Macaca mulatta: one gene and its partner. The protein of the gene in region 1 binds, or shares a complex with, the protein of each later gene. Links are inferred from orthologs where the notes say so. Each region holds a gene or a part of one and is shown in the gene's direction. Other genes may lie near its edges. The genes, in order: STRIP1 and PDCD10.

Region 1 (13,931 bases):
TGGCTCATGCCTACAATCCCAGCACTTTGAGAGGCCAAGGTGGGTGGATCACCTAAGGTCAGGAGTTCAAGACCAGCCTCATCAACATGGCAAAACCCCATCTCTACTAAAAATACAAAAATTAGCCGGGCATGGTGGTGCACGCCTGTAGTCCCAGCTATTTGGGAGGCTGGGGCAGGAGAATTGCTTGAACCTGGGAGGCGGAGGTTACAGTGAGCCAAGATCATGCCACTGCAGTCCAGTCTGGGCAATAGAGGAAGACTCTATCTCAAAAAAAAAAAAAAAAAAAAGAAAAGAAAAAGAAAAATGTTTGGGTTTGGGATTTTAGTTAGGGATTTTTGTGGTGACTTATCCTCTTTCAGAAGACTGTTTGAAGACAAATGTGTGGGGCTTTTGCTAGAGTGCAGGGAGTTTGGCCAGAGAATGTTCTCCCCAGCCCTTCTTTTCCCATCTCTCCCTCCAGCACAAGTACACGTCGATTGCAGAGGTCCAGGCGCAGATGGAGGAGGAGTACCTCCGCTCCCCTCTCTCAGGGGTAAGTTGGAGGTCCTCTTCAGCCACCAGGATCCCCAGCTCTTCCCAGGCATTGTGCTGGGATTAGACCACAAGGTTGCCCCAGGCCCTGCCCTCAAAGAACTCCCAGTCCACCTCCCAGTGCAGAGGGTGACACAGGTCTAGTGCAGGGTTAAGAATACAGACTGAGTCAGGAACCTGCCTCTTATGCCTGGATCTACCACTTTGTGGATGACAACTTAAGCCAGTTACTGGGTGTCTCTACGCTTTATTTCCTTGTGTGTGAAATAGGAATAATAATACCTTTATAGGGTTATTATAATAAGAATGAACTGAGTTATTACAAGTAAAATGCTTGGCACATTGTGTTCAGGGTTTGCTGTTATCATTAACATCATTATGTACATCACCGTCTACAGGTTTTCCTCCAGCCAGCTAGCAAGCTGGCTCAGGAGATTGTATTCTGGGCTGGGGTTTTATGCTTGTACCCATTATGTTAAAAGGGAGAAGAAGAAGTTGAGCAAGTCCCTGCAGAAACCCTCTACCAAGGCTTGCTCCCCAGCCTGCCTCAGTATATGGTGAGTGGCGCTTACAGTGGGACCCTCCCACTACAGTGGCCTTAGAGTGGGCCCTGCCCTCCTCCTGCCACCTGTGGACCAACAGAAGGACTGCTCAGAGCTTAATTTTGGCCCTGGGCTCTCAGACCTGTGTCTGAATGGTCTACTCTTCCCAGATTGCCCTCCTGAAGATCCTGTTGGCTGCAGCACCCACCTCAAAAGCTAAAACAGACTCAATCAACATCCTAGCGGATGTCTTGCCTGAAGAGATGCCGTGAGTATCGTTCTGTGAATGGAGCAGGTGGGGCAGAAGATAGATGGAGAAGGGCAAACGTTTTCCTCTTGTCAGGTTGGTTGTTATTGGCCCAGCTTCTCTACAGGTTAAATGTAGGTATTTTTGACTCAAAAAAAAAGGAAACTACTAGATTAAAGAGTTTCACTGGTTAGGGAGATGGCTTGGTCCTGTTGGCCTGGATTCTAGTGTAGACTCTGCCACTGAGCGAACTCCTGAGTGAATTGGGGAAAGTAATTTCCTCCTCTGTAAAATGAATGGGGCCACCCTGGACATTGCCCCGAAGCCGCCCTCTCCAAAGCCGCCCTCTCCAGCTGTGATCGGGACACCAGGATAAGGAGGGTTAGCTTGTAGACAGCTTGCCAGCAATAGCTGAACCTGTGCCAGGTATAGAGACGTCCCTTTTCGCCAGTAAGCGGACGCGCAGAATGCTGGCAAATGGCTCAGGGTGATAGAGTGAGATTCTTCAGAGCTCTTCTGCGCTGGGCCCTGTACTCGTTTTTCATGTGAGAGTACAGATTGAGATCATGTTCTACTTTGAGAAGGACCTGGACCTTGACCTGATCTCCTGCCTGCCTGGGCCGCCAGCCCTGAGTCCAGCTCCTGGGTGGCTGTGGCCCTGAAGTATGGCAGTGATGGCCAGGTGAAGGAGGAGGCAGGAATTGGCTAATACCAGAGGGAGAATCACAGAACACTAGGCCATCATGTGATGATCCTTGAAAAAAAGGTTCTAGAGTCATACTATATATTTGATTCATGGATTTCTCTTATAAGGAGGAATTCCTTTTATAAAGATGTACAGTGAGAAGTCCTGAATTAAGAAACTGATGTAACTCAGTGCTTCCTAAATTTATCTGACTCCAAAACCCTTTTTTCCATGACATGAAATTTGCCAATATCCTGGTATTCCACAGAACACATTTTGGAGAACTCAGGTTAATACGGCAGCTTAGGGGAGCTTAGGGGAGATCTTGGAAAGGAGAAGAAGTTCATTTTTAGAGGAAAGGCAGAGAAGCAGACTAAGAATGTATTTGAGGGCATCATGGGGAAGGAATAAATTGTGCCAGGCTACATTGCTTGGGAGGTGGATGGGGGAGCCCTGGGCTGACTTCTGAGATGTCCATGGGGTGAGTGGGGAGGTGGGAGTCTTTGCCCAGGGAGGCTCAGGAGTCCATCTTTTCTGTGGGCACCTAGAAAGGAGGTACTGCACATGCTGGTGGCTTACCCAGGCAATTATGTTTCCAGCACCACAGTGTTGCAGAGCATGAAGCTGGGGGTGGACGTAAACCGCCACAAAGAGGTCATTGTTAAGGCCATTTCTGCTGTCCTGCTGCTGCTGCTCAAGCACTTTAAGTTGAACCATGTCTACCAGGTACCCGCAGGGCTTTCCCTCCTGTCCTGTGGTCTGGGGCCTCAGGCACTACTGCTCCTCCAGCCCACAAGAACGGGGGCCTTGGCCTTTGACCCGCTTGAACTCTGCATGAATGTTCTAAGACATGGCCCTCCAGCCAAGGCCTTTCATCCCTGGAGGAAAGAAGGCAAGGTCCCAAGGGCCACGCCTTTTTTTTTTCTTCCCCTGTTGGCTTCAGTTTGAATACATGGCCCAGCACCTGGTGTTTGCCAACTGCATTCCTTTGATCCTAAAGTTCTTCAATCAAAACATCATGTCCTACATCACCGCCAAGAACAGGTGACGAGGGCCAGGGACCGTGAAGGGGCGGGTATGGTCAGACAGCAGAGTTCCCAGCTGGTATTTCCCACTGCCTCCATTTTTCCAGCATCTACGAGCCAGCGCTCTGCAAGGCATCAGGACACAAAGATAAATGAGACATGGCCCCTGCCTGTGGAGAGCCCAGTGTGTCAAATCTGAGTCGAGCTAGTCGCGCCCCAGGTGCCTTGGCCTGTACCTGGGCAGGAGGGTTTTCATCCCGGGATCTAGTACTTTCTTCCCTGTCCCTTTTGTACTTTTTTTTTTTGAGGAGACCATGGGCTGCTTGCTCTCTCTAAGGGGCTCGGCCATGTGCCCTGTAATGCCCTGTCTGCTGACTCTTAGCCCCTGCTGTTGGCCTGGTGCCAGCTATAGTTGACATTACTTGCTCGTCAGTGTGATATACCACAGGGCGCTGGCCAGACCCTGTCTCCAGAAAGGCTTGGCATCAATTAGTTGCCCTGAGCAGTCTCCTCCCCAGCCCCGCACTGATGGCTATGGGGGAAGCTGTGAGGGTCTCTGCCCCTTACAAGATCAACCGGCTGGCCTCTGGCTACAGGAGTGCCTTACAAGTTCCCTTGTAGCAGATATTTCCTCGTCTTATAGCTGGGGAAACGGGTGGGACAGACCAGGTAGATTCCTACTTCTGCTCCAACAAGTGAGGGAGGAAGGCTGGGAACTGGCTCAGGCATGGCTGCTCCACTAGGCCCTGGGCCTTTGCTCATGGTGGGCACCTGGATCCTCTCCCCTCTGCAGCATTTCTGTCCTGGATTACCCTCACTGCGTGGTGCATGAGCTGCCAGAGCTGACTGCGGAGAGTCTGGTGAGTGGCTGGGCTCTCCTCGGCTGTCCCTTTGGCACCCGGGTTAGTGAGTAGAGAGCCTGCCTACCCCAACACCACAGGAATAGAGGTGTCTCCCACAGGCGAAGTCACTGTGGAGTGCCCGGCTTTTAGAGCACTGTAAGTGTACAAAAGGGCCAGGAGGAGGGCTCTTGCAGAGCAGAGAGATTTGGATTTAGGGATTTGTCAGGGAGTGTGATCTTCAGGGGCTGCTGATCCAGAGCTCACCTCGTAGAGGGCTTCTCTCCCTCAACACTGGACTCAGCAATAGGAGCCCTAGGGCAGCCCAAGGCTGCAGCTCCCAGTATCACGGTTCATGTTTCCTTCAGGAAAAGTCTGGGGAGCCTCCCTCTTCCCCTAGTCCCTGCCAGTTTCTGGGACGGAGTCCTGGGGCTGCTCTGAGAGCAGGGGGTTCCTGGTAGAGGCCTGAAGACCCGGCTCTTCTAAGATCATGTGTGAGGGACTTTTGGAAACTGCTGCACACACTGTAGCCGTGAGGGCTGATTGTTCCTGGGTTTACCCTGCAGGAAGCAGGTGACAGTAACCAGTTTTGCTGGAGGAACCTCTTTTCTTGTATCAATCTGCTTCGGATCTTGAACAAGCTGACAAAGTGGAAGCATTCAAGGACAATGGTAAGTGAGTCAGTGCATTCAGCAGGCTTGGAACTTGGAGCTCAAAGAAGAGTGCTGGGAGCAGGGAGTCCCTAGGGTGGGGCTCACTGTGCCTTCTCACTTAACTTTGCTGTAGCCATATCCTTGCATTTTATGGGCCAGTTCCCAGTTCCTTGATGAGTTTGATGAGTTGAACTGGAAGCTGGAAGAGGCCCAGTCATGCACTAAAACAAATCTACACTTATAGAAGAGCTTTTTCCATGTCATCTTAATCTTGATTGGTTACATAACCAGGGTTCTGAGAATCTTCCTTAACTCTGGGTCTGTGGATGCCTTTGGGGTGGGGAGGTCCTTGAATCCTCTGGTAACTTATGTGTACATGTACACAGGAATGTTTCTGGAAAGAATCCATAGCTTTCTTCAGATTCCAAAGTGACCCTTAGGGTGACCAACCATCCTGGTTTGCCTGGAACTCTACTGGTTTTAGCATTTGAAGTCCAATGTATTAGGAAACGCTTCAGTCCAAGGGAAACTGGGAAGGTTTGTCACCTTAACTTCCAAAGGGTTAAGCAGCAGCGTGACCAGGGCTGTATGCATTTATTTCTGTCTTCAGCTTGGGCTGCTTGCTTGTTTGCCTTCCCAGATGCTGGTGGTGTTCAAGTCAGCCCCCATCTTGAAGCGGGCCCTAAAGGTGAAACAAGCCATGATGCAGCTCTACGTGCTGAAGCTGCTCAAGGTACAGACCAAATACTTGGGGCGGCAGTGGCGAAAGAGCAACATGAAGACCATGTCTGCCATCTACCAGAAGGTGCGGCATCGGCTCAATGACGACTGGGCATACGGCAACGGTGAGGCTCTGCACTCAGTCACATTTGGGTGGGAGTGTGTCGGGCAAGGTGACATCTTCCACTCCCTGCCCGTGGTGCTCAGGTGCTTCTCTGCCCTGAGCTTCCCACCAAGGAACAGAAAGGAGCCCAGCTTCTGCTTTTGTAGCATCAGGATGGGCACTCTAGGAAGGACTTTGAGAAGCTACCCAGGCTTGGCATCTGCGATCATCCCCATCTCTCCCTGTACCTCCAAGTCATTCCTTTTCTAGAAATTGTCATAACACTATGTCCCCTCTTTTCATCCCCATTTTGGCCACCCAAACTTTTACAGCTCTTGACTGGCTTCCCTGCCTCTAGTTCCTTCCCCTCCATCAGTGTCTTAGATTTCCCTAGTGATCCTTTTTTACTTTAATTTTTTTCAAAGATGGGGCCTGTTTCAAAGATGGGGCTGTGTTGGCCCAGGCTGGAGTGTGGTCTTGGCTCACCATAACATCTGCCTCCTTAGTCTCCCGAGTAGCTGGACCACAGGCACATTCCACTGTGCCCACCTAATTGTATCTTTTTTGTAGAGACAGGGTTTCACCATGTTTCCTAGGGTGTTTTTTTGTTTCTTTTTTTTTTTTTGAGACAGAGATTCTGTCACCCAGGCTGGTTTGCACTGGCACGGTCTCAGCTCACTGCAACCTCCGCCCCCCAAGTTTAAGCAATTCTCCCCCCTCAGCCTCCCAACTAGCTGGGACTACAGCTGGACTCCACCATGTCCAGCTAATTTTTGTATTTTTTGTAGAGATGGGGTTTCACCATGTTAGCCAGGCTGGTCTCGAGTTCCTGGCCTCAAGTGATCCACCCGCCTCGGCCTCCCAAAGTGCTGGGATCACAGGCGTGAGCCACTGTGCCTATCCTTCTCAGGTGGTTCTTGAACTCCTGGGTTCAAGGGATCCACCTGCCTTGGCCTCCCAAAGTGTTGGGATTACAGGCATGAGCCACTGCGCCCGGCACCCTAGTGAATCTTTTCAACATGCAGCTTCTGTGCTGTTACCTCCCTGAGTAAAATCCTTCATTAGCTTCCTGTTTCCCTTAGAATTAGATTCAGACTCAAGCATGAGGCTCCCTCGTCCTTTTTCATTATCCTCCTCTGTAATCTGACCCAGCTTCCTTTTCAACCTCGTTACCTGCTGTCAGTCCAGCCTCCATCATACCCAGAGCTCCAGGCACAAGGAGTGCTTAGTGCCCTAACATAGCTGTGTGGTTACCACTGCTAGGCCTCTGCAGACGCTCTTCCTCCACCCGCAGGGTCTCCCCTGCCTGCCTGGGCTGCTCTGTGTGGGTGTGTTGCCACATTGTTGCGTTTCTGGAGTATACCACCATGGCTAAATGACTGTGTCTGTACTCTCAGTGCCTTGTGAATGTGTGCAGGCCCACGGTGGCACACGGTACCTGGTCAGGGAGTTGAGAGAGAATGAGCAAATGAGAGGATTTCCAGGTTCCTCCCTCTGACCCCAGAGAGCTAGGGAGGTTGCCACTTTGAGAGAAATGTGTTGTACACATGGCTCTCCCTCTCTGGGTCTACATAATCTCTACAGTATAAGCCTCTTTGTCGGTACTTCTGTCTTTTCTGCTTGTACTTGACTCTCCTTTGGATCTAGGAAGGAATTCCTAGAGCTCGGAGGTATCCTGCTCCTAGTTGACACTCAATATTCCTGGCCAGGCCCCTGAGCTGCAGTGAGTCCATGGGGAGCTGCTACAGGGCGTGGCTCCTAACTGTGTTCTTCCTGCTTTGTCTCAGATCTTGATGCCCGGCCTTGGGACTTCCAGGCAGAGGAGTGTGCCCTCCGTGCCAACATTGAACGCTTCAACGCCCGGCGCTATGACCGGGCCCACAGCAACCCCGACTTCCTGCCAGTGGACAACTGCCTGCAGAGTGTCCTGGGCCAACGGGTGGACCTCCCTGAGGACTTTCAGATGAACTATGACCTCTGGTTAGAAAGGGAGGTCTTCTCCAAGCCCATTTCCTGGGAAGAGCTGCTGCAGTAAGGCTGTTGGTTAGGGGACTGAAACAGAGAAAGGAGGATCTCAAGGTACCTGCAGGACTGTCCTAGTTCATGGCTGCAGCGCTCCCATTCCCCACCAGGTGGCAGCACAGCCCCACTGTGTCTTCTGCAGTCTGTCCTGGGTTTGGATGAGCCCAGCTTTACCTCCTATTGGTTCCCAGGGTCCAGCTCAGAAGCAGTCATCTCTGCCTGGGATCCATTCTTCCTTTATTTCTCTCACCCTCCTCTCTTGGACATGGTTGGTTTTGGCTCATTTCACAATCAGCCCAAGGCTGGGAAAGCTGGAATGGGATGGGAACCCCTCCACAGCACATCTAAATTTCAGGGGTCATGCTGATGCCTCCTGAGACACACAAATCCTTGCTTTGTCAGCTTGCAAAGGAGGAGAGTTTAGGATTAGGGCCAGGGCCAAAAAAAAATACAACGGTGTCTTGGTTGTGCTCTGGGGTGGGGGTGGGGGGTTTCTGTTGTTATTCCAGCCTCCTGCTATGTTATATGCAGAAGTAATTGCAGAGGCTCCTGCAGCTGCCTCCACACTTTGATTTTGGACAGGGACAAGGTAGGAAGAGAAGCTTCCCTTAACCAGAGGGGCCATTTTTCCTTTTGGCTTTGGAGGGCCTGTAAATACCTATATATAATTCTGTGTGTATTCTCCTGTGTCATGTTGGGGTTTTTAATGTGTTTGTGTATTCTGTTTACATTAAAAATAAGCAAAAATCATTCCCGTTGGCTTGTCTACGGGAAATATGGCCTCTACATGTCTCCTCCAGGTCTAGAAAGTGTTTTTTTCTGCTAGCATTGCTGGTCACTGCTTGTCTTGCCAAGCTGCCTGCCTTTCCCATCCTGGGGGAAGAGAAGAGGGAGTTGGCATTTATCCAGTGTAAATTAACCCCACAGTAATCTGGGATTACTCTCACCCAACTCCAGGGCACTATCAAGGTTACTTTACTGAGACATTGTCCTGCACCCCTGGGTTTGCTGTAATTTCAGTAGGAGCCCCAGGTTTCTCTGGATCACATCACTGAGCTGGCCTCAGCCAAACCAGTGTCAGTGCTAGAGAGGGAGGGGCTAGGTCAAAGCAAGGGGGTCAGCTGCTCTAGGTCCTCCCTGGGGCAGGTGGTTGGGACTGAGCGGAAACTTCAGTACTCAGAGCGTAGGAAGCAGACTATCAGGAGTCAGGTTCATGGTGGGAAACAATGTTGCCAGGAGCTAGGAGCCCCCTGTGGCTGAGAAAAAAGCAAGGAAAATCTTTGAAGTGGGTGTCAGTGGACACCTGGCGCCTACACTCTGGCCTCCAGACCCCTGGTTGCGTCTGCCTGAGAAGATATTACCGTTTTGATGCTGGTAAAAGGAGTGTTCCCTTTTTAGAATTCCTGGAAGCTCTTATTTTACCTGTACGCAGTTGTTTTATAGGTTCTTAAGTCTTGAAGGGTCTTGACTTGTAAAGGAAACATGTTCTGGGGAGAATCTCCCCTTCGTTGGGTCTTGTGTTCAGTGCCTGCCTGACCTGGGACCTGCTGAGCCTCAGACAGGCCTTTTGATGTGCCAGCATGGTTAGGGACAGCAGGGGTGGAAGGCAGCAGTGTACTCCTGGTGGTCACACAGTCTGTGAGATGGGAAGTCCCATCTGTGACTGATGGGCCCTTTGCCCCAAAGTAACTTGTACAGGACAAGGGAATTGACAGTTTATGTGTGGATGATGGATTTTCTGCTATTTCTTGCCAGGACTGGTAGGAAATATGTATCTTGAGATTTCAATTAGGGAGAGATGGATTTTTCACATTGGTACTGTCCCATGAAGCCTGAGTCACTGAACCTGCATGGTCAAGGCCTGTCTCTCCTCTGACCTGCAAAACAGAATGCAGGACTATCAAAACTGCAAGGGCCGTGAAGCCTGGGCAGGTGAATCCCTTCAGCTGTAGGCCCAGGAGCCAGCCCAGAGAGAGGAAGGGGCTTCTCACAGTCACAGAGCATGTTAGTGGCAGGTTGGCCATTTGAACTCAGGACTTTGTACAGAAATGTCTTTTGGAGCCACCCAGTTTTTGTGGCTTTTTAAATCTCATCTGGGTCATGAAGTAGGCAGAGTACATGAAGACCCTTTGTAAATGATTGAATTACATAAAATATTGTTTATTGCTAAGCAGACTCAGGGTCCACTCTTCAATCCACTGAGAGACAGACTACCCTGAGGCAGTATCACTGTAAGGATAGGAACTGTCCCTTATTAATCATAAGAGTTACCACTTATGGGTTGCCAAGTAGGTACCAGGCACAATATTAGATGCTTCTCAAAGCCTTATTTTCTACAAAGCCAGTAAATACTGAGTACTTACTATGTGCCAGCCAGCATTCTAACCACTTGATGTATAATATCTTATATATTCCTTGTAATATCTTGAAAGATACATGCCATTTTAATCCCTATTTTGCACAGGAGAAAACTGTGGCACAGAAAGGATAAAGAACTTGCCCAAAGTCATATAAAGGCAAGAGCCAGGATTCAAATCCAGGCCTCTGTCAGCACATGCATTTTTTTCACTTCCTCACACCCTTTGCTATTAGTCATTGTCATACCCCAGCACTTACCACCAGTACTTACCACCAGTGCATTCATTTGCTCATTTATTTACCACAGCCAATACTTCTATTTGCTCTAGCATCATCCCTGGCATGAAAGATTCATGGTAAATGTCCATTGCTTTAGGTCCTAACTGGACCACCCAAGCTTAGCCTTGGGCTAGCCTCTGGTGTTCCTTGAATATGCCCTCCTCAGGGTAACTTGGCTGTTGCTGCTGTCTTTTTTCTTTTCAGCCTGAGCCTAAATTTCTTTCTCTTCTGGGTCCCAGAGGACTCTTGTGTTGGCTGCCCTATCCAGACCTGTTAGGCTCATTTCCCAGAAAGCTGGCTTCTTGTCTGTCCTGGATGAGCTGACTTCTCAGAGGAGAATAGCTGTTACATTCATTCGGCACTTAGCACAGTCAGCCTCAGGAGCACCCTTTGGAAGTGAGACAGCCCTGACTTTCAGTTCGGGCTCTGACATTTATTCACTGAGGGACCTTGAGCTAGTCACGTTCCAAGTCTCAGTTGGCTCATCTGTAAAAATTGGTTTAATAATAGCCCTATTGCGTGGACTGAGTAAGATCATGGAAATGAACCTACAGGTCTGGCTGACAAGGGATGACAATAAATGGTAGCAGTTCTTAGTCTTGGCAATGGCCCCTCCAACTCTAATGTTCTATGAATTTGCACCCATTTCCTGTGTCCGTAGAAGACAGAAATCCCCTTCAAGGACCAGAACCATGTCTTAGGCCTCCTTAAAGCTCCTGGACCTAGCTTGCTGCTCTGAATCCAGAGGTGTCTCAGAAGAGTCAGCTTCTCGTCCAGCAACCTGCCATCACACCTTGAAGGCCTGTTGGGGCCAGGCCCTGTGGTTGATGCCCTGGATATCCAGGTGACTAGGATACCACACTCTCTCACTTCTCTCGAGCTCACAGTTGATGGAGACACAGTCATAAGAGCAAGTAAAAGCAATAGCATGATAGGTAACAGACGTCTGAAGGGCTTACCTCAGGTCCCACTGGTCCCAGCCTCTTACTATTGGAGGAGAGATTGCTGGGGGAGCTGGCAGTCGCTGAGTGGGAAGGAAGGGGGCTCCAGCATCAGTATCGAGGGCTCTGACAGCTAACGCTTGATGCTTACCACCTTCCAGGTGAAAATGGCTGGGATGAGCCTGAGGAGGAGACTGGGGCAGGGGCAAGGTATGTCTTTCCTCTGCTGGATAAAGGAAATGTTAGGGTCTTCCCAGTTCCTGGCCATGCTAGACTCTTCCTGTCTGGAGCTGCAGAGGGTCTGCACTTTGGGATTGTAATTCAGGTTGAAGTGTAAATGGGAGAGGTGCGGAAGGAGGATTGAATGCCTCGTAGGAGAAGCATTTCCAGCTGCTGACTGAGGTGGGCAGACTGGACTGATGGGCCCCCTGGCTGTGGCCCTCTAGTCCTGACCTGGTGTCCATGTTCCTGCCAGGACCAAGATTTAGGGCTCTGGCATCTTCTCTGGGGGAGACAAGAGCCTCAGCAAAAGGAGCTGGGATTTCAGGAGGGGCCATTTCCCCTTTCCCTTCCCAGAAAGAGTGGCCAGAGCACAGGCTTGGCCTTGAGGAACCACTGGCCTGGGCGGAGGTCTGAGGTTACCTCTGGAGTGAGGCTGGGGACAGGGGTATCTGGAGATGGGGGCTGTGTCTTAGGGGTGTGTGGGAGGAGGAGGGACACAGCTAATGAGAAGCAGGTGGAAGGGCTGCATGCCCCAGCCAGGGGACAGGCTGGCTGGGATGGCCCAGTCAGTAGGAGGACCTGTCACCTTACAGACAATCCCACGGAACAGGCTCCGGGATGCCCATTCATATTCATTATGTGTGAAGTGGGCGGTTGTAAAGTTAGCTTTCTCTTCATTTAGCTGTCACTGGACAGAAAAATATGAGCTGTGGGCAGATGCCCCTGGATGAGAGCCAGTAGCCAGTCTCTGGCCTCCCTGTACCCTCCCCTAGGAGCCCCCCATCCCACCATGGGTCCCCTCCTGGCCTCTGCCAGCCTCTGCCAGCTTCTCCCACTCTTCTTGCTTCATTGACCTCTGGCTCACCTTTATTTTTTCTCCTGTCTCCCACTTTTGGTTTCTTTGTCTGGGTTTATCACAGATCCTTTCCTCTTCCCTCCTTTCATCTTTCTAAGCCCTCTTGAGGGAAAAAATGATATTTTTCCACAACCATCGCTCTCTCTGGCACCCAGCACATTGCCAGGCTGAGTTGGTACTCAAAATGTTTGTAGAACAAACTACTCTTTCTACATCTGACTTTGTGGGGAAGAAGGTCCAAAACTTTGCTGATCACTCCTTGGATGAAGAAACTTCTCATACAGCGGTGTGAGCCCTGAAGTCAGAATGGTGGGCTTGAGCCCCAATTTCATTACTGCCTGGCCAGGTGAAAGAGATTCTGTCCATCAGCGGCAGCCAGGGATGTCACTCCTTCCTACCCTGACTCTCCTCTTTCTGCTGGATCCCCTCCGGATACAGGGCTCACACCTGTGGACCTCAGAGCCCGCGTCAGGACCGAGAGGAAAGAAATCACCAAAAGTCAGACCCTTGTATAGAGGGAAGGGGAAGGAAGGGAGGGAAGACAGACTCCTCTGGGGATACACGCGACTGTCTTGGCTGGGAAATCTGATCTGGTGGGGGACTCACCCCCTCCTCTGGAATCAGCTCAGCCCTGATGTGTCTTTGTGGGCTTGGGTTTCTCTGTGCCTGAAAGATGAGGCGTGGGGTGGGGGTGGCTGGGCTGCTGGCAGAGGCTGAATTCTGAGCAATGTGGTTGTGTTTACTGGGAGGGTGGGAGGGCCAGACCTTTTTCCTGCCTTCCAGGCTTCAGAGATAAGGCAGAAAGTGGGGATGAAGGATAGAATGGGTAATACTCTGAAACTACAAGAAAGAGTTCTGGCTTTTGTCTCTGCGCCACAGCTCAGACATGTTCCTGGGGCATCTGGAAGGAAGCCACCCCACTCCCACCACCCTGGGGTCCCAGCCCATGGGGAGCACAGAACCTCAGTGGGCACCCCTTTCTTCCATTCTACCTCCCGTCTGTTGTCAGTTTAGCCACAAAGTTATTTCAGCTTTTTTGCTACCCTTCCCACCCTCAGTTTTCCCTGCCACATGCACCCAGTCCTAGAACTGAGCTTTTCTCCCTGCCTCCCAGCACAGCCAAAGCCACAGAGACCCTAGGCAGGTGACAGGGCCCGGCCTGGCATGCATCGGCCTTGAGGCCTCTGCTGCAGGACCACCTTCCCCTTCCTTGCTGGCCCCTCAGAGGTCCTGGCCCAGCCTGCATCCTGGACATAGACCAGCCCCAAAGCAACCAGTGTCCAGCCCTGGGGATAGACAGTCACCTGGTATAAAAAACACCACCACCTTTATTAGAATGCTGGGCAGCATTTTTTTTTTCTCTCTCTCTTTCCCTTTTCTTTCTTTTTTTAAAACGTGTCTTTACAAAAATGGGGATCAGGATCTCAGTCTGTGGAAATCTATTTTATTCTGACCAACATCCAGTATCATTTCCATGGCATAGCTCTGGGCTGGTCCCATGGAAGAGATTCCAAATATGTGATGATTTCTGGTGGAATTTCTGCCCCCTTGGAGGGGAAGATGACTGCATGGCATGCTGGGAGTGCAGGCACAGGGCAGGAGTGAAGGTGGCTGGAGCTGAGGAGCCAGTGTGCCTTAGTCTATGCTGACTTTGGCGTTCACGCCCTCCTTAGTGTCAGATGCCAGCGCGCCCCCTGCTGGTGGGGAGGGGAAGCAGGGCTGACTCTACCCAATCATGGGAGACTCCATTTTGGTTTCCATCTCATCATGAAGAGCTCCCCTAGTCCACTCTGCGTTCTCCTCCCATTTTCCTGGGTTCCCTGAACGATAAGCCAAGTAAGCTGTCTTAGCTGGAGAGATGACAACAGACTTGGACAAAGTCTGGAGTCAGCAGGGCAGTGTCTC
Region 2 (15,912 bases), on another chromosome or scaffold:
AGGACATAAGATGTAAGATACTATTTAACCTGCCACAGACATCGAATAAGGGATTTAACATCTGTAAGCAATTTAGGAGACTAGGTACAGGTTTCTTAAATGGAAGGATGAATATATCTCAAAAACACTAATTGCTTCAATGATTCTAAATTGCTTCGTGAAGTACACAACAATTAAATGCTCCAATAACTGATTTAATTCAAGTAAAGGCAAAAATTATACATCACAATGTGGTATCTCTAGCATACTACTAACAGATATAAAAACAATAAAATCATCTCTTCAAGTTAGATCTGGTTAAATGACCTCAAAGCAACAAAATTTAGTTTATCAAGAAAATGACAGAAGCAATCCAATGTGGGTAAAATATCAGAAATGTTTCGGTGGCCTCTTTGGGGTCTGTTCAAGAAAAGCAAAGATGCTAGGAGTGGACTACAAGTTGATAGGTACTCACTGAATTGCCTGGCTGTGCTATAGAAAGCACTGTGACATTTGAGCTACTCTTACTGGGAACGCTGCTGTGAGATACACCTGGGAAAAACAATATAGTTTGACAAAATAAGGTTATTAAATGAAAAACATTTCATCTGTTTTCCTTCCCACATTAAGTAAGAGCTGCGAGGAGCTCCGAAGTCTCCCTTCCTAGGCAGAATCAGAAGGGGGCCTCCAAGCAGTGGCTGAAACTGAAGGCACCCTGTAAGTTTTCGCCACCAAGCTATATACAGAAGGCCGACACTGAGCACTGACAATGCCACGTCTCAAAACTCATTCGTTTCCAATGATGGCTCAGATATGACAAATACCTATATAATTCAGGTACAATATAAGCTTTACTAAGGCCTCTCAATGCAACCTTTTCACTGAAAATAGAATTTATGACCAGTTAAACTTTAGTTAAGATGAGGCCTCATACTACATTTATCTATTTATTTTTCTCTATTTGTTAAGAAAAAAAGTAATGGAAATGATGTGTAGTGGAGGGGAGGTATTACATAAAATACCTTTATGTAAGGAAAAGCACATCTTTAAATCAGCAGAGTTCTAGAGGCAAGGAGAGAAAAGGACCACACAAACCCTAAACAGCATCTAATGAATAAATTGATGTCTGAAGCATGCGCCCATGCGTGCAAACACACACACACACACACACACACAAGGTTGCAGTTAATAACAAAATTTGTTCTACTTATTTAGAAATCCAACAAAAGATAGCAATATTTATATTTAGCCGTAATATAAGCAACCATTGTTGGCAGAGGGCTGAATTTAGGACTAACACAGATATCTAAGAAAAATTTATTTTACTAGTTGTATTTGTTTGCAAAATGATGTTTCATTATAGATTGCCAAAGAGTTATCCAAATTGTTACTACTTACCAAGTATGAACTATGTAAAAGAATTCTCAAAATGAATACAAAGGTCAATGAAACTCGGTGTTAGCTCTAAAGATACTAAGTATCTGGTGAGAAAGATGGTATGAACTAAGTTTACCCTACACAAGGCACAGTGCTAATCATTAAGAATAATATCAGCAGGGCATGGTGGTTCACACCTGTAATCCCAATTCTTTGGGAGACCAAGGTAAGAGAATTGTTTGAGGTCAGGAGTTTGAGACCAACCTGGGCAACACAGTGAGACCCTCATCTCTATAAAAAGTTAAAATTAGCTGAGCATGGTAGTTCTTGCCTATAGTTCTAGCTACTGGAGAGTCTGAGGTGTGAGGAGAGCTTGAGCCCAGGAGTTCAAGGTTACAGTGAACTAAGACCAGGACACTGCATTCCAGCCTGGGCGACAGAGTCAGACTGTGTCTCAAAAAAAAAAAAAAAAAGAAAAAGGCAGGTTAATTATCAGTTCTAAGCAAGCCAATTTATATCCATCAACATGAAGGTAAAAGTAAACAGAAGGTAGTTAAATATTTGCTATAATTAATTTTACTACTAAAAAACTATATACAATTAACGAGAATTGTATAGGTCTTAAAATTTAGGAAAAATTACGTTAGATTCTTAATTCTAACACCAATCAGATTAATTTGTTTTGAGAAGGTCAAATGCAAAAAACAATTAATGACCAACTCTACATATGTTTAAACAAAATCAGTCTACTTCTTTCTTTTTTTAGAAGAAATAATTAGAAAAACAGAAGAGCAAATTAAGTTTTTATAGAATGAAATATGGTTTCTACAGATAAGCTTCAACAAAGGTATAACTCCAGGGCCTTGAGGTTAAATGGTGGTGTGCCCTGGATTTTCCTGTCTGTGAAATTCAGACCTTAAGTGCCACCATTTGGAGATTCCTTTACCCTTGCCTATATATCCTATTTCTGAGATGAATTTAGAAACGCTGGCGCCTAAATTTGTAACGTATTTGCAGCCCACACAGTGTGAATCCAATTGTCCTCAATCAACACTTTCGCAAAGGCAAACTAGCATAAAGACATTCTCAGAAGGACTAATGTATAAGCAATCATTCTGTGAGGTCAGCTGACTCTATCTATCAAAGGGCAAATTGTCTTAATGTGAGCATTATAGAAGTATTGTCCAATGTCCAATGATTCTAATTCAGTAATTGGTTACTCAGTTTCTTTACGCTGAATATGACATAAGGTGCTCAGGACTAAAAGGAGATAGAAAAGAAGTACATGGTCTCTAAGAGTTAATAATGTAGTTACTTAAAACACAGTTTCCAAATTTTAAAGACTAAATTCTTAGAAGATTTAAAAAAAAAAAGAAACAACAAAAAAACTCTCCCTTATTTGTGTATGTTAATTCTGATCCCAAAAGCAGTGTTTAACCTTTGGAATTTGCTTAATTAAATAAATGGTATCTTGCTCATCTTAGTGTCTGGTTCAAGTACCTTTATTACTTTAAAGGGGCAAAACATCATTTTAGGTATTTACTTCTTGATATTTTGTCCAAATAATGTTTCACTTAGACGTGAGTGTACACAGGGAGGATTTTTATGCTTTAATAACCCATGAATATTCAAAATCTAATGAATACCAGTTTGATTCCAGTTAAAATGGCCATTGACTGGAATCAGACTGGTATTCATTAGATTTTGAATATTCATGGGTTATAAAAGCATAAAAAAGGAAGGTTAATCATCCAAAATGTATTCCAGTAAAAACTGCCATTTTAACTGGAATCAGACTGGTATTCATTAGATTTTGAATATTCAATTTTACTTAGAAAAGTAATGTATTCCAGTATGAATACAGGCCTGTACAAATTAATGACTGGGGGAGAAAAGGCCATGGAATCATGGATTATGGGAACTTAACAAAAAATAGAAATTTTTTTTCTCTTTTGCTAAAGGTGTGTTTCTCAAGTGTTTTCTTTATATCTATTCCCCTGTCTCCTTCTTTACCAAAACCATTTGATCTTGGACCTTTAAGTCTTGCTCTTTTGTGCTGCATGCATCAGTGAATCCTCCTGTTAAAGAGAAATCCATACTAACTTATTTTTACTCAAAAGGCTTAGAATCAGAATTCTAAAGAAAGGACCAAAGGATATGGTAATTGGAAATTAACCAAGGTTTTTGGCTAAAGAACAATCATCCCCTGAGCAATTTCCATTCAAGAGAGACATTCTGCACTCTGTTGCTTTTCCTTTCTCATCATATATATTCACTGATAGCCATATACCAATAGTAAAATTAGAGAGCAGAATAAGTAATATGCTTATAACATAGGTAGCATTTTACACAGAATTATAAACTGCCATAAAACGAACGTTTTCAACACCAATCAAGAAAAATCTTCAGATTACCTGAGATTGAATGTGAATATTAACTAACATGAATCAAGAGTTCAAAGTAAAAAATAAATGCCATATACCGCCAATGATATTCTCTCATGTAAAAATATGGTCTTTTTTCAAATGATATTGAAACCCAATCTCTTTTACTGACACAGTAAAAAGGATCCAAATCTTGGAAATAGGTGAAAAAAATCAGTACTTTAATACCACAAACTCATTCATTCCTAATGAGATTCTAGCCTTTACCATGCCTCAGAGCAGAAGACCTATCAAAAGCTGAGATTCAAAGTACATCTTAATTTCAACTGTTTAGATATTTATCTTCTATCCATTTGCTTGCTTATTAACTGTTTCCCAATAAAACTCTTTCAAACAGATATTTTAATAAAGGCTCGGAAAGAATTTCATTGCTAGTATTATAATTATTACATGGGGGAAATAACCCAGAGACAGCAATTATTCAGTTTCACAAAACGAATTAGTAGTAGAGTCTGAGAAAGGATCTAAGACTGATTCAAGACAATTCACTTAATCACAAATAACAAGGGCAAACAATCTTTTCCAAGTGTCACCCTAATACCCACTTTTTTTTTTTTTTAACCCCAACATCATTTTCACAGGGCCATATCAGCTATGTGAATTAATAGATTCTCCAGTGCTGTAGCAAAGATAAAATCTGATCCTTACAGTGCTTAAGTTTAGCAGCTACTGTTGCTTTTTCTTTCTTCTAAGCTCTTTGCTGTTTTTGATACTTAGCTGATCTGCTTAGGGATAATCAAAAAGCAGCTGTTTTTCTAAGAGCTATCTGTCTATATATTTCTATGGTATGTGAGAGTGTGGGAGGGAAGAGTATATACACTGATAAGTCACTTAGGCTTACCGGTAGTAGCACGCAGTAGGACTGAACTTTAAGCTGGGAAGAGAATTCATTTGAGCCATTTCTTTTCAAAGAGAAATCTGGCATGCATTACAAAAATAAAATGTAAAATCCCGAGAACTCAGGAGAGCACAGAAATAGGAGAAAACAAGGCAATTACTCCATTTTATTGACCCTGGTTATTAAAAAAACATAGATTAAAGTATTGAGACAGACTCTGAAATATACAACTGTCACAATGAAAGCATTTCAGAGCAAAATTTGCTGCAATATGCTACTATGATTAAAAGCCATGTAATCTGGGAACCTCTGTAACAAAATGAAAATGAACTAGGAAAATAGCTTCTTACTACTTCTCTAAAAATAAAAGGCTGTAATTTTGTCATAATTACACAAAGGTAGGTGAGACTTTCATCTTTACCCAGCATTACAACATATTTCCATCCATAGGTATTACAATTACGTTGCTTTGAATACACATATGGTTTAATACCGAGAATAAACTATTATTTTGTGACACTACATGTGTTTTAAATCTGAACCCACCATCATAACACATATTAAGGATAGTCCTTCAGCACATACTTTCTACCCAGAGAAAAGATTCCCACACAGCTTTCCATGTACTCTTGATTTTAAAATGTACACATATTATCGGACACAAATGAGAGAATAAGGAGCAGCAGTGAGGTACACCATATGTTCCCACTGTAGGCTGAATCCAGGTCTTTGTTCCAATATTCCAGAGCCACTGGAAAGAAAGCTAACTATCCATTCATTAAAATTCATTTTTACATTATTGCTGGCAAAAGTTATACTTTTGATAGATTAAGTCAGAGCCCATCCTATCCTGACTATTCCTGCCTGCATTTGCTTCTTTAATACGGATTTCTTGCAATTCTATGAAACTGCAGAATAACCACCCTGGATAACAGGTCGGTAGCAGAACAATCTGATAAACCAACATAAAGGTAGACACTGAAGAAGAACGCAAAGTTATCTTCCTAGTGAAATAGTTCAGAAGTCATTCTATATCAATAGCAAAATTTTTGCTTTTCATACGCTACGCACCTATAACATCCACCAGATAACATCCACCTCGTCCTCAATTAGCAGGGTTTTTCTCAATCTTGAGATCCCCCCAGAACAGTTTTACTGGTGTAACTCAAACCAAAAACACTAACCACGCCCTTTATACCCAGAGTCAAGCTTCTTTTTGCTTTTTTGCCCTTACAGTCCAAAAATGTAAATCTTTCACCCGAGAGGGTTTACACCGGTTTCCTAACCCAAGGCGGGCTCTTTTAGCTGTATCTTGATGTAATTCCTATTGGAACACGTTTTCTCCAGGGCAGTGCAGACGCCCCGAAGAAGGACCCACGCTTACCTCCCACACACCTGCAACCCCTGACGGGATGCTGGAGCTGGTGCTCGGAGGACTGTGCTCCGCTCCGCTCTCGTTCCTGCTTTCGTCTCTCCCGGGAAACTACAGTCCAGACTGCGCCTCTGGCTTCTACAGGGACCCAAGCTCCGCCTCTCCCTCCTCTAGTTGGCGAATTTGGCAGCTGTTGCTCCTCCCCCTGCTGTTTTTGCAGCTGCCCGGGCCGGAGGCAGCGGAAAGCAGCTGCCCGTGTACCTTCCCGCTCCCCGCACTTCTGCAGCTGCTCTGCCACTTCCCCTCCCCTGGGGGTCCCTCTCCCCTCCTCTGTGGCTCACACCTGGAGCGGTCTCCTGCCCCACCCAGGCGTCTCTGCTGGGAGCCCCGGCTCAGCCTATCTCTCCCCGACGCGTGGGTCTGGTTGCCCGATGTGCCCGGGGCTTAGCTGCTCCTCCGCCCTGTGCAAGTCCCCACACCAAGCCCTCCCTTCACCCGGGTGATTTCCCCGAGGCTTCCTCTCCACCCGTACGGCATACTCAGCCCGACAACCCCACGATCCCCACCACGGGCCCCTCACCCCCTTCCTTCCTCTGCTCTGTCAGCCCGCCCCCTCAATGGGTGAGGCGCCTGCGGGGCCTACCCGGCACCCTGATTGGCGCAGGTGAGGGCTTGCCCCGCCCTTCCTCTCCCTTCCGTGCACCATCTCTCTTCATCTCACCTCCTCCCGCAAAGGCAGGGAACTCTCCTAGTATTGGCTAGAAGTGTCCCCACCCATCGCCTCAGGATCTCCCGCACGGCCTGCCGGGAAGTGTAGTCTTCCGAGTGCAGGAATTCCGGGCAACGTTGGCGAGCGGGACTACGAGTCCCCATAGGCCTCTGCGCGACTCCGGCTGGGCAGGATTCCGGACAACGCCTGGTTCCTCTCGGGTCCTTCCGGCGTCGCCGGAGTGAATTGATCCGGGAGTTGAAGAGGGCTGCAAAGGTGGGAAGTGAAGTCAGTGCCTCAGTTGCTGGTAAGGTGTAGCTGTTCTGTCCCAGTCCCCATAGCTCTGCACCGAGCAGAAGAGGTCTAGGGTCACGCAGGGGCCATGGCTGAGGCACTCGGGCTTGATTCTGGCAGGCGGAGCGGACGGGGCTGAGAGCGGGGCCCTACGGGCGTAAGCGAGGTTACCCTACGCGAGTGGCGTAAAGCGGGTTTGTAAATGCCGCCTGCCGGCTTGGGCCCGAACGCCTCCAGGAAGTCTCCTCTAGGTGGGGGCGGGAGGGGAAGGGCGAGGTTGGCCCCTGGTGCCCCGGGAGAGGGGAGAGGGCGGATGTTCCTGGGGTGGGGTCCTTTGAAGGTGTGGCTTCGCACGGAGAGGTGAGGCTGCTCTTTTCCCCCTGCTTTGTAAATAAGAGAAAGGGAGGAGGAAGGAAAGGGTGCTGGGCAGTCTGCTGTCGGGGGTGACTCGGGTTATGCCCTTTGAGGGAAGGGGAGCACTGGAAGAAGGAAGAGACAAATGTTGAGGTCTACGGATTCAGTTCCAGTTTAATGATGTGGCTCTCTAAGGAGGTAATTTTGCCTTAAACAGAAAGGCTTGACCCTCGTAGGTGTCATACCCAAGTATGTTTTTACTCCTTTACTGCTTTCAGAGCGCTTTCATTTTGGGATGCTGATGAGGAAACCGAGGGATTATATGACGTGCCCAAGGTCACACACGTAGGGACAGACTTTCTGAATCTAGTCCTGTTCGAGTTCAGCTTCTGGAGTAGGGACGTTGGTTGTGCTTTTTGAAAAGAGTGGAGGAAGTTGCAAAGTAAATGTATTTTATGTAGTACATCTAAGAAGCCATTGTGAGATGAAAAGTTGTTTCTTGAACTGGAGTGAAATTCCTCAATAAAGGAAAGAACCTTTTGGGAAAAAAAGGATCAGTGTTAACTTTTACAGATTTCCCCCTCTTTTTTAGGGATGTATTAAATGATAGACTCTACTCTCTCAGTTCATTTTTAAGGGTAGGTAATAGGATGGGAGAACAACAGTTAATATCCATCCTTAGAAGAACATTCTTTTCTTTTTCTACTTTAGGACTGTTTTTACTCTCATTTTGTAAAACTGATACTAGTTGGATTGGAATTCTTTCACAAAACTTTAAACTTTTTTCAAATAATGTTAGGAGAGTTTAGTGTGCCCGTTACTAGAAAAGAAAGTACTTTGCATTTCTTGGAGGTAACATCGTCTTTTTTGTTTGAGATTTTACTTCTCCCCCATTTTCTTGACTTTAGGCTGTATTTGTGTGTGTGTCTGCAAATAATAGAATTAGGCTGTTACATATTTTTATTTTTCTTAGAATCATCTGTGACTTTCAATTCATTCTTACTTTACATTAAAGAATGAAAAAACAGTACACTTACATTTTATCTCTTGCAGAAAATAGTGCCCTTATGCAAATTTTATCCTCTATTATGACCAGTTATAGCTCATGACTATTATTATTGGATAGGTTTTTAATAGAATTGTAAGAGTATGTTCATTGATGCCAGAATTTCTTTGTGATAACTTTATATCCATAAAGGTTAGCATGTAATAAATCATGGCTTACTCTTAACATGTAATAAATCATAGCTTACTGTATTGTGTATAAGTTGATCATCAGACTATGCTGAATTTTGAATGTACTCTGCAGTTACTATATTATCAACAATATAGTAACTTTTTAATGCAAAAATTTTTTTTTGGAGTAGAGGTATTCTCTTACCTGATGGTTGAAATTAAGATGGTCTGGAAATTAATACGATTTTTAAAATAGAAAAAGTATGCTACTATAGAATGAAGTAAAATCAGGAATAATGTACCATGAGTAATGTAGTACACAGACAAGGAAGACCCAGTTAAACAAATGGAAAATTATGTGAGGATAACTGACTTTGTGCTGGATTAAGAAGGGTGCGGTGGTGTAAATAGACCATAAACTGAACATGAGTCAGTGATGGTAAAGGAAGAATATTAATGTATTTTCTAGATGACAATGTAAGTATTTGCCTTTTGTTGAAGGAGGTGTGAAATAAATTCTAACCTTTGGCACATAACTCTGTCATTATCGAAAGAGGTTTTGAACTATGAGGAAATTTTGGAAATAATATAATGCATTTGTTCAGTGTATTTTAGATTTTGTTCTTGGTTCATTTCTGCCACTACTCTATGTCTGAGGCCAATTATAGTTTTGATATTTCTTCTATTGGGATGGTGGATTAATGTTTGTATTGTTTTTAATCATCTTTCAATCACATGCTGCAGTATTGTTGTCACTTTAGATCTCTGCACGTTGGATAGTTAAGAGTTCACGGAGTTATGTGTATACATGTAGTTTGCAGCTCACCAGTGTCTTCATTTATTCTCATGCTGGGCTTTGCAGGAGCCATCGGCTTTTGGATGTAATTTCTTATAGGACTTGGGATGTCTTCCATATATTATACATCTGTCTCTTTCTCTTAAGGATGTAAGGTCTGTAAGAATAGGGGCTGTTTATTATTGTAGTCTCAGTAGGTAAGGTAATATTTACGAAGAGAATGAAGAAGCTCAGGTTGGTTAAGTGACTTGTAACTGGTGGGAGTAAGATAAAAATCGAGATCTTCTGACTACAGATCTTTAATATTGTGGAGTAAAGACTTAGTTCCCTTAGATTTACATGAGAACAAGACAATGTGACTTAAATATTCAAATACTATTACTTTCTTACTCTGTTTAACACTAAAAATTTATCTCTTCTCCTATCCAACTCTCCGTCCTTATCCCCAGCCTTTCTCATTTACCATGCCTTTTGGTTACTACATACATAAGCTCCTTCCTGACTTGGTGGCCATTGCATATTCCATCTCACTCCTTGGCCTACCTAAATGTGGCTACCTGATAGTCAGTTTTCATATCTCAATTTAAATATTCTTTCTCGGGGGAGCCTTGCCCTCCTTCCCAAAACCAGAATAGGTTCCCGCCATGTATTCACCATACTCTATACTCCTTTGTGGCATTATGATAATAGAAACTTAATTATTTCTGTATTTATTTGACAAATATTGTCTCCTCACTGGACTATGAGCTTCCTGAGCAGGGCCCTCTCATTTGTCATGTGTTACCCTACCCCACTACTTACGTAGTACCTGGCACAATATAAGGGTTCAGTAAATATTTGCTGAATGAATGAAGGAGTGTATTCATGCACAATGCTTCCGGTACTTCTCTGGGGACAGAAATAGAGAAATGAATAAAGCAGATATGCTTTCTGGATTGAAGTATATAAGAACTTTCAAATGAGCCGTAATGCTTAGGCAATTTAGGTTATATGCAAAGGAGTCATTGACAGAATTTTAATATAAATTGTAGAAAAATGTTTGTTCTTTTTGGAGGTCTCTGAAATCAGGTTTAATTTTCTAGATGGAAATGACAAAGGAATCACTTTCATTTACAGCAAAATTGCTGTGTAACGCAGCATTTTAGAGATCACTGTCCTGCTTTTTGAAAGCGATGTTCATTATGACAAAATACAGACATGGAAGAAACTTCTAATGGACTCTTCTTCCCTAATGTTACCTCATTTTGCCCTAAAAACCTTTATTTCCTCTAGGTAGTATTATTAACGCTGTTTTATAGCTGAAGACATCAAGAAAATAAGTAAATTTACTTATTAAACTAAAAAAAGTTTAAATTGCTAGAGTTTCCAAAATGTAGGTACTGGAACCATGGTTAGAATCCAGATCTGTCTCCATATTCTAAAATCCATAATTCTTCCTTTTTCTTTGCTTTTTTGTTTTGTTTCTTGCTTTTTAACTTTGCTATCTTCCTATGAATTATACCTTTAATATCACTTAATTTAGACAAGGTGGCTTTGTAAAATTGAGTAGTTTTTGTTTCAAAGGAACTTATATTTTGGGATTCCTAAAAATTTTTCTAATACTTAAGTGAATCTTATTTGCTTTAAACCTGGAGACTTAAGCATAAAAAGATCATTTTTTAAAACATGCAAACTGAATTTTAGTGATAAATCGTGTTAGGTTTTGGTCTTGAAAACAAATTCCGCAGTCATTTGTTGTACCACAGTATGGCATAGAGTAAGGTCAATAGTCCTGAGTTATTATAGCCTTATATGCCTTCATGGATTTACCAGTTTACTTTTCCACAAGATATTGTCAAAAAGAGATTGCTGATATTTGGCTTTAAAATTTAGTAATACTATCCATTTTATTATTAAAAACAAGTCTTTGCTAAATCCGAAACTTTTTAGAAAGTCAGTGTTGATGTTACTTGAATCTTGGATGAAATATTCATATTTACCTAGCATAACCAGTATGTGGAGGTTGAAGCTGAAGTACTGCTTTTTATATGTTGTTGGACGATTAAGGTCATTATCGTAGGGGTTACTAAGAATTTTAAGCCACTTGCACGATAAATAATTTTTTTCCATAATATAAACTATAAAAGTGGTTTAGAAGTTAAATGTCGTTGTTATTTATGTTATTGCATTTGAAATATTTTAGTAAGCTGCGGTGTTAGAGGGTTATGCTTTAGGGACACACACACACAAACACAATGCAAAAATTAAAGCACATTTATTATAGCAATTAGAAATAATTTATGTGCTGAAAGATAAACATTGTGGTTTGGTGGTTCATTTTTGTCTGTATGAAGATGGAAATTTCAATTTTGTCATTTAAGCTACAAAATTTAAATGTGTCTTAAATGTATTATATTACACTTATTTTTCAAGCTCACCCTTACGTTTTTGGCTATGTATAACCATTTTTAAAATCACCCAGAGGTGATTTTACACTATTCAGTTTCATTCTTATACAGTTGACAGAATCAAGGTTGCCTGTAGGGTTAAAAGAAAAAGAAAAGAATTTTATTAACAAGCTTATGAACTATTGGGTAACAGCAGTGGAACATGTTAAGTGGTAGTCACTAACATAGTCAGGCCAGTCCCTTGGGAATAAGTTTAGCAGAGGTTAGTCTAAATAATGACTTTTTGATTCATTTACTTATTGAATGCATATTACCTGTGAAATTGCCTTAAACCTTCTTTGGAATGAGCTGGAACCTAGTATAATAGCTAGCTTTTATTGAGTAGTAAGTAACTGTCAGGTCTCATGCTAAGCATTTTGCAAGATCTCTTATAATCCTTACAACAACCCTTGGAGGTAGAGGCACTATTACCTCCAATTTTTAAATGAGGAAGTTAAAGTACAGAGAGGTTAGGGAACTTGCCTAAGGTTGCAGGAAAAAATGCTTGGAATTCGGATTTGAATCCAGGCTGGCTGACTCAAGAGACCATGTTTTTCATCATTAAAGTAAAAATGATGTTAGTGATTGAACTGTGTTGGAGAGAAATTAGCATTAAGAGTTGTAGTTACAGAGAAGTTAAGTCTTAAATGCTAAGGTCAGCGTGGCAGGCAGAAATTACTTAATATTCAAACTTTTGAAAAACCTATTAGGAAGTACACGTTGTAGCACACAACTTCAACACAGCCAGTTTTTTTCTAGCATTGGAGTAGATTTCTTTTGAGTACCAGGTGAAGTGTTTGACTTGTTATTCAGAGACCATATTGAAAAAAGAAATACATATATTACAGTACAAGAGTCACAATCAGTGTGGCAAGCTGCTCTTTGTGAGAGCTCACTGTGGCTCTCAGTCTGGTGGGGGGAGAGGCAGATCCATGTTTCTTATCTCTCTCATTCTGGGACTTTTGCATATGGAATGGAATTACCATATACTCCAGTAGTTATTTTTAATAAAGTTATTTTTTGTTTGTTTTCTTCAAACAAATGTTCACCATGTCTGTTGAACTTGCATAGGGTAGGAGTATCGTGTGAAGCGGGTATGCTCCCTGGAGTGTTAATGCCAAGTGGCAGTGTGACATGTCACTGTGTTTCTTTACTGTCTGTCTTCCCTGCAAAACTCCATACCCTCAAGGGTATGTGCTATTCAGCTTTTCATCACCATATCTCCAACTAACACTGTTGCTGACTTAGACTGACTATGCAGAATAGTGTGTTGGATACTAGGAAATAGAGAAATGGATACAATTTCTCTTTAGGGAGTTTATACTTTAGTAGATACAAGGGGAAAGGGTTGAAAGACCATTGTATGGACATTTAGTCTTTCTAATATAGTAAGTACTTCCATGTGCATCAGTTCATTTTATAATTTTAGATTACAGCTGATAGAAAAATAAATGATAGTGTGTCTAACTGCCATCTGGTCCCTGGCACTGAAATGGGTCTCCCTGTCTTATTCAGTCATTCTCTCTTACTTCAAGATAGACTGGAATTCAACTGAGATTGAAGTTATGGAATGACAAAACCCTAAGATGTTACACACTGGCTGCCTCCTCAGACTTATATAAGGTTACTACAACAAAAGCCTGTTGGGAATGTTAAATGAATCAGACCTGGCCTCTAGACAGCAACTGCTCCCTATACGAGTTTAGATTGTTGCAAGGTTTTTTGTTGTTGTTTTTTTTTTTTTTTTGCATTTAATTCCAAAGCGTTTGGAATCCTTTGGTTTTTTTTTTTGTTTTTTTTGTTTTTTTTTTTTTTTTTACTTGAGAAATGCACATCTTTCTCTTTGTCTTTATCCATATTAAAATTGGCATTTATGCAATACTGTCAAAATTTGAGAGATTTCCAAGGTTCTACCTTATTTTTGGTATGCTTCCTTAAAAAATAAATCACACTTTTGCAAAGTGAAGGTTACAGGAGGAACTGTAAATGCAGTAAAAACAGATACTATTCTGACCCTAATTTCTTCTTGTAAGCAATAGTATTTATATTTGAGATCAATTGGGAGCTAAAGGTAAAGTTAAATGGCATCATCAAGGTAGAATCTTGGCCTCATTAGCACCTAATGTTAAATAAGGCAGAGGCTATTTATTGTCTGGGGCTAATACTTTTTATCAACATTTGAGTGGCCTGTAGCAGTGTTTTTGGTGCAAAGGTAATGAAAGTACCTGTTGCATGTTTTAGAAGATCTTAAGCCATTAGGAGTCATTAAGTTAAATTCTAGGTATCTAAGATTATAAGTGATACAAAGCAAGTAGCTCTGACCCAGGGTGGTACAGATTCCTTTAATTGTACCTTTAAGCAGAGAGGGCATAAGAACAGTCTGAGGATTTAAGTTTAGTTTGATTTCTAAGGGATTTTAAAGGAAAGCTTTAATTAACATCATATTGGAGAAATTAAGACAAGGAATAATATTAGCAGAAAGGAAAATAGACATGTACCTCAATTAAACACCGAACAACTATTCAACTAGGCATCATTCATGAACCACTAGATTGAGAACTTTATGGGCAAAAGATAAACATATTCAAGGCGACAAATTTGTTTCCTGTCTCCCAACAAGTATTTTCATTTAAATTTTACTCAGATCAGAATTTACCAAAAATTTAGACATAGGGAAAAAAAATGAGGATAGTCAAAACTAAAAAGATGTATATTTTTCCTCCTGAACAAGTTGCTTTGAAGTATCGTAAGGAGCCAGTTGTTACTATTTTGTTATTGTTTCCATTTCCCATCAGCTAATTCAGAGGTAATGAGCTCTTTGATTTTGTTGTCAACTTTTGATTATCTTGTATAGATTATCACCTTTTATGAATTATCTCAAGGGCTTTGATCAAATCTTGATTTCAGTCTGCAACCCAGCCTGCTACCCAACCTGCTTCTTGACCATGGTTTCCTTTGTTAAGTTTACCTATGTACATTTAGAAAAAGTAATTTTAACATTGACTTGGCAAATAGTTTTAAAATGCCCCGATGACCAAATTATTTTATGTAAGCCAAAACTAAGTTTTTTTATGCACCCATTTTGGCAAATGGGAGAAAAAAGATTTTGAAAATATGCTATGTAGGTGGCCTTTATGACATTGTGATATCAGTGTTTGAGTCTTATTGTGTATGTTATGCAGGGGAAGGACTAGGGTGAGGCAAGAAATGTGCCTAGGGTACAAACTTTGAAGAAGCAGTAACTCTCCAAGTCGTGCAAATCAGAGCAAAATTTTGTGTTCTAGGCATCTGGTTTGCCTCACCCTAGTTGTAGTCGATTCCATGTCAGGTCCCTATAATTTTGGCTAAAATATTAATAACAATATGAATAGAATGGTTATTGTGTGTTAGCTACTGTATTAAGTGTCTAATATGCATTTATTACTCTTAACCTGGGGAAGTGAGTACTTCAATATTTCTGATTCTCACTAGTTTAGAAATAGAGATTTACGAAACTGAAATGATAGCATCCAGCTGAGCAAAAATTCAAACTGAGGTTTTTTTCTTCCAGTCTGAGCACTATCTCCTGCTGTATACTGTCTATGTGTAGAAAAAGTTACTTCTTACCCATTTTATAAATTTCTGTATTAAACAGTACTCTGGCCAGGCACGGTAGCTCATGCCTGTAATCCCAGCACTTTGGGAGACTGAGGTGGGTGGATCACCTGAGGTCAGGAATTTGAAACCAAACTGACCAACATGGTGAAACCCACGTCTCTACTAAAAATACAAAATAGCCAGGCATGGTGACAGGTGCCTATAATTTACCCAACTACTCGGGAGGCTGAGGAAGGAGAATCGCTTGAATGTGGGTGGAGGTACACCACTTCACTACAGCCTGGGCGACAGAGTGAAACTCTGTCCCCCCCCCCCAAAAAAAAAGAAACAGTATTCTACAAAATATGTAAGTGCATACACTTGACATGATAAAGTTAACTTTTAAAGTTAACTTTTAAGGTGAGTTAGAAGTCTCAGCAGCACCAAGTTGAAGATCCACAAGCTTGTGCTGCTAAGTACCCTAGAGCTGTCAAACATATTAAAGAAGAAACTAAAGCATAGAGGGGTGAAATGAATTGTTCAGAGACAAAGATAGTTTATAAATGACAGG

The links.
Region 2: STRIP1 (region 1) and PDCD10 share a complex: the UniProt entries of both Homo sapiens proteins name them as parts of the core of STRIPAK complex. The link is inferred for Macaca mulatta from reciprocal best matches to the Homo sapiens genes STRIP1 and PDCD10.

The regions. Positions count from the first base shown.
Region 1 is NC_133406.1:130,136,167-130,150,097, reverse strand, and holds the end of STRIP1 (striatin-interacting protein 1), read left to right. Parts: intron 1-463; coding exon 464-535; intron 536-1,016; coding exon 1,017-1,091; intron 1,092-1,246; coding exon 1,247-1,344; intron 1,345-2,607; coding exon 2,608-2,734; intron 2,735-2,951; coding exon 2,952-3,052; intron 3,053-3,826; coding exon 3,827-3,893; intron 3,894-4,438; coding exon 4,439-4,543; intron 4,544-5,165; coding exon 5,166-5,370; intron 5,371-7,135; coding exon 7,136-7,383; 3' UTR 7,384-8,120; downstream 8,121-13,931. UniProt on the Homo sapiens protein: Plays a role in the regulation of cell morphology and cytoskeletal organization. Required in the cortical actin filament dynamics and cell shape. Part of the striatin-interacting phosphatase and kinase (STRIPAK) complexes.
Region 2 is NC_133407.1:79,335,905-79,351,816, reverse strand, and holds the start of PDCD10 (programmed cell death protein 10), read left to right. Parts: upstream 1-6,996; 5' UTR 6,997-7,026; intron 7,027-7,275; exon of another isoform or gene 7,276-7,373; intron 7,374-7,480; exon of another isoform or gene 7,481-7,565; intron 7,566-15,912. UniProt on the Homo sapiens protein: Promotes cell proliferation. Modulates apoptotic pathways. Increases mitogen-activated protein kinase activity and STK26 activity. Important for cell migration, and for normal structure and assembly of the Golgi complex.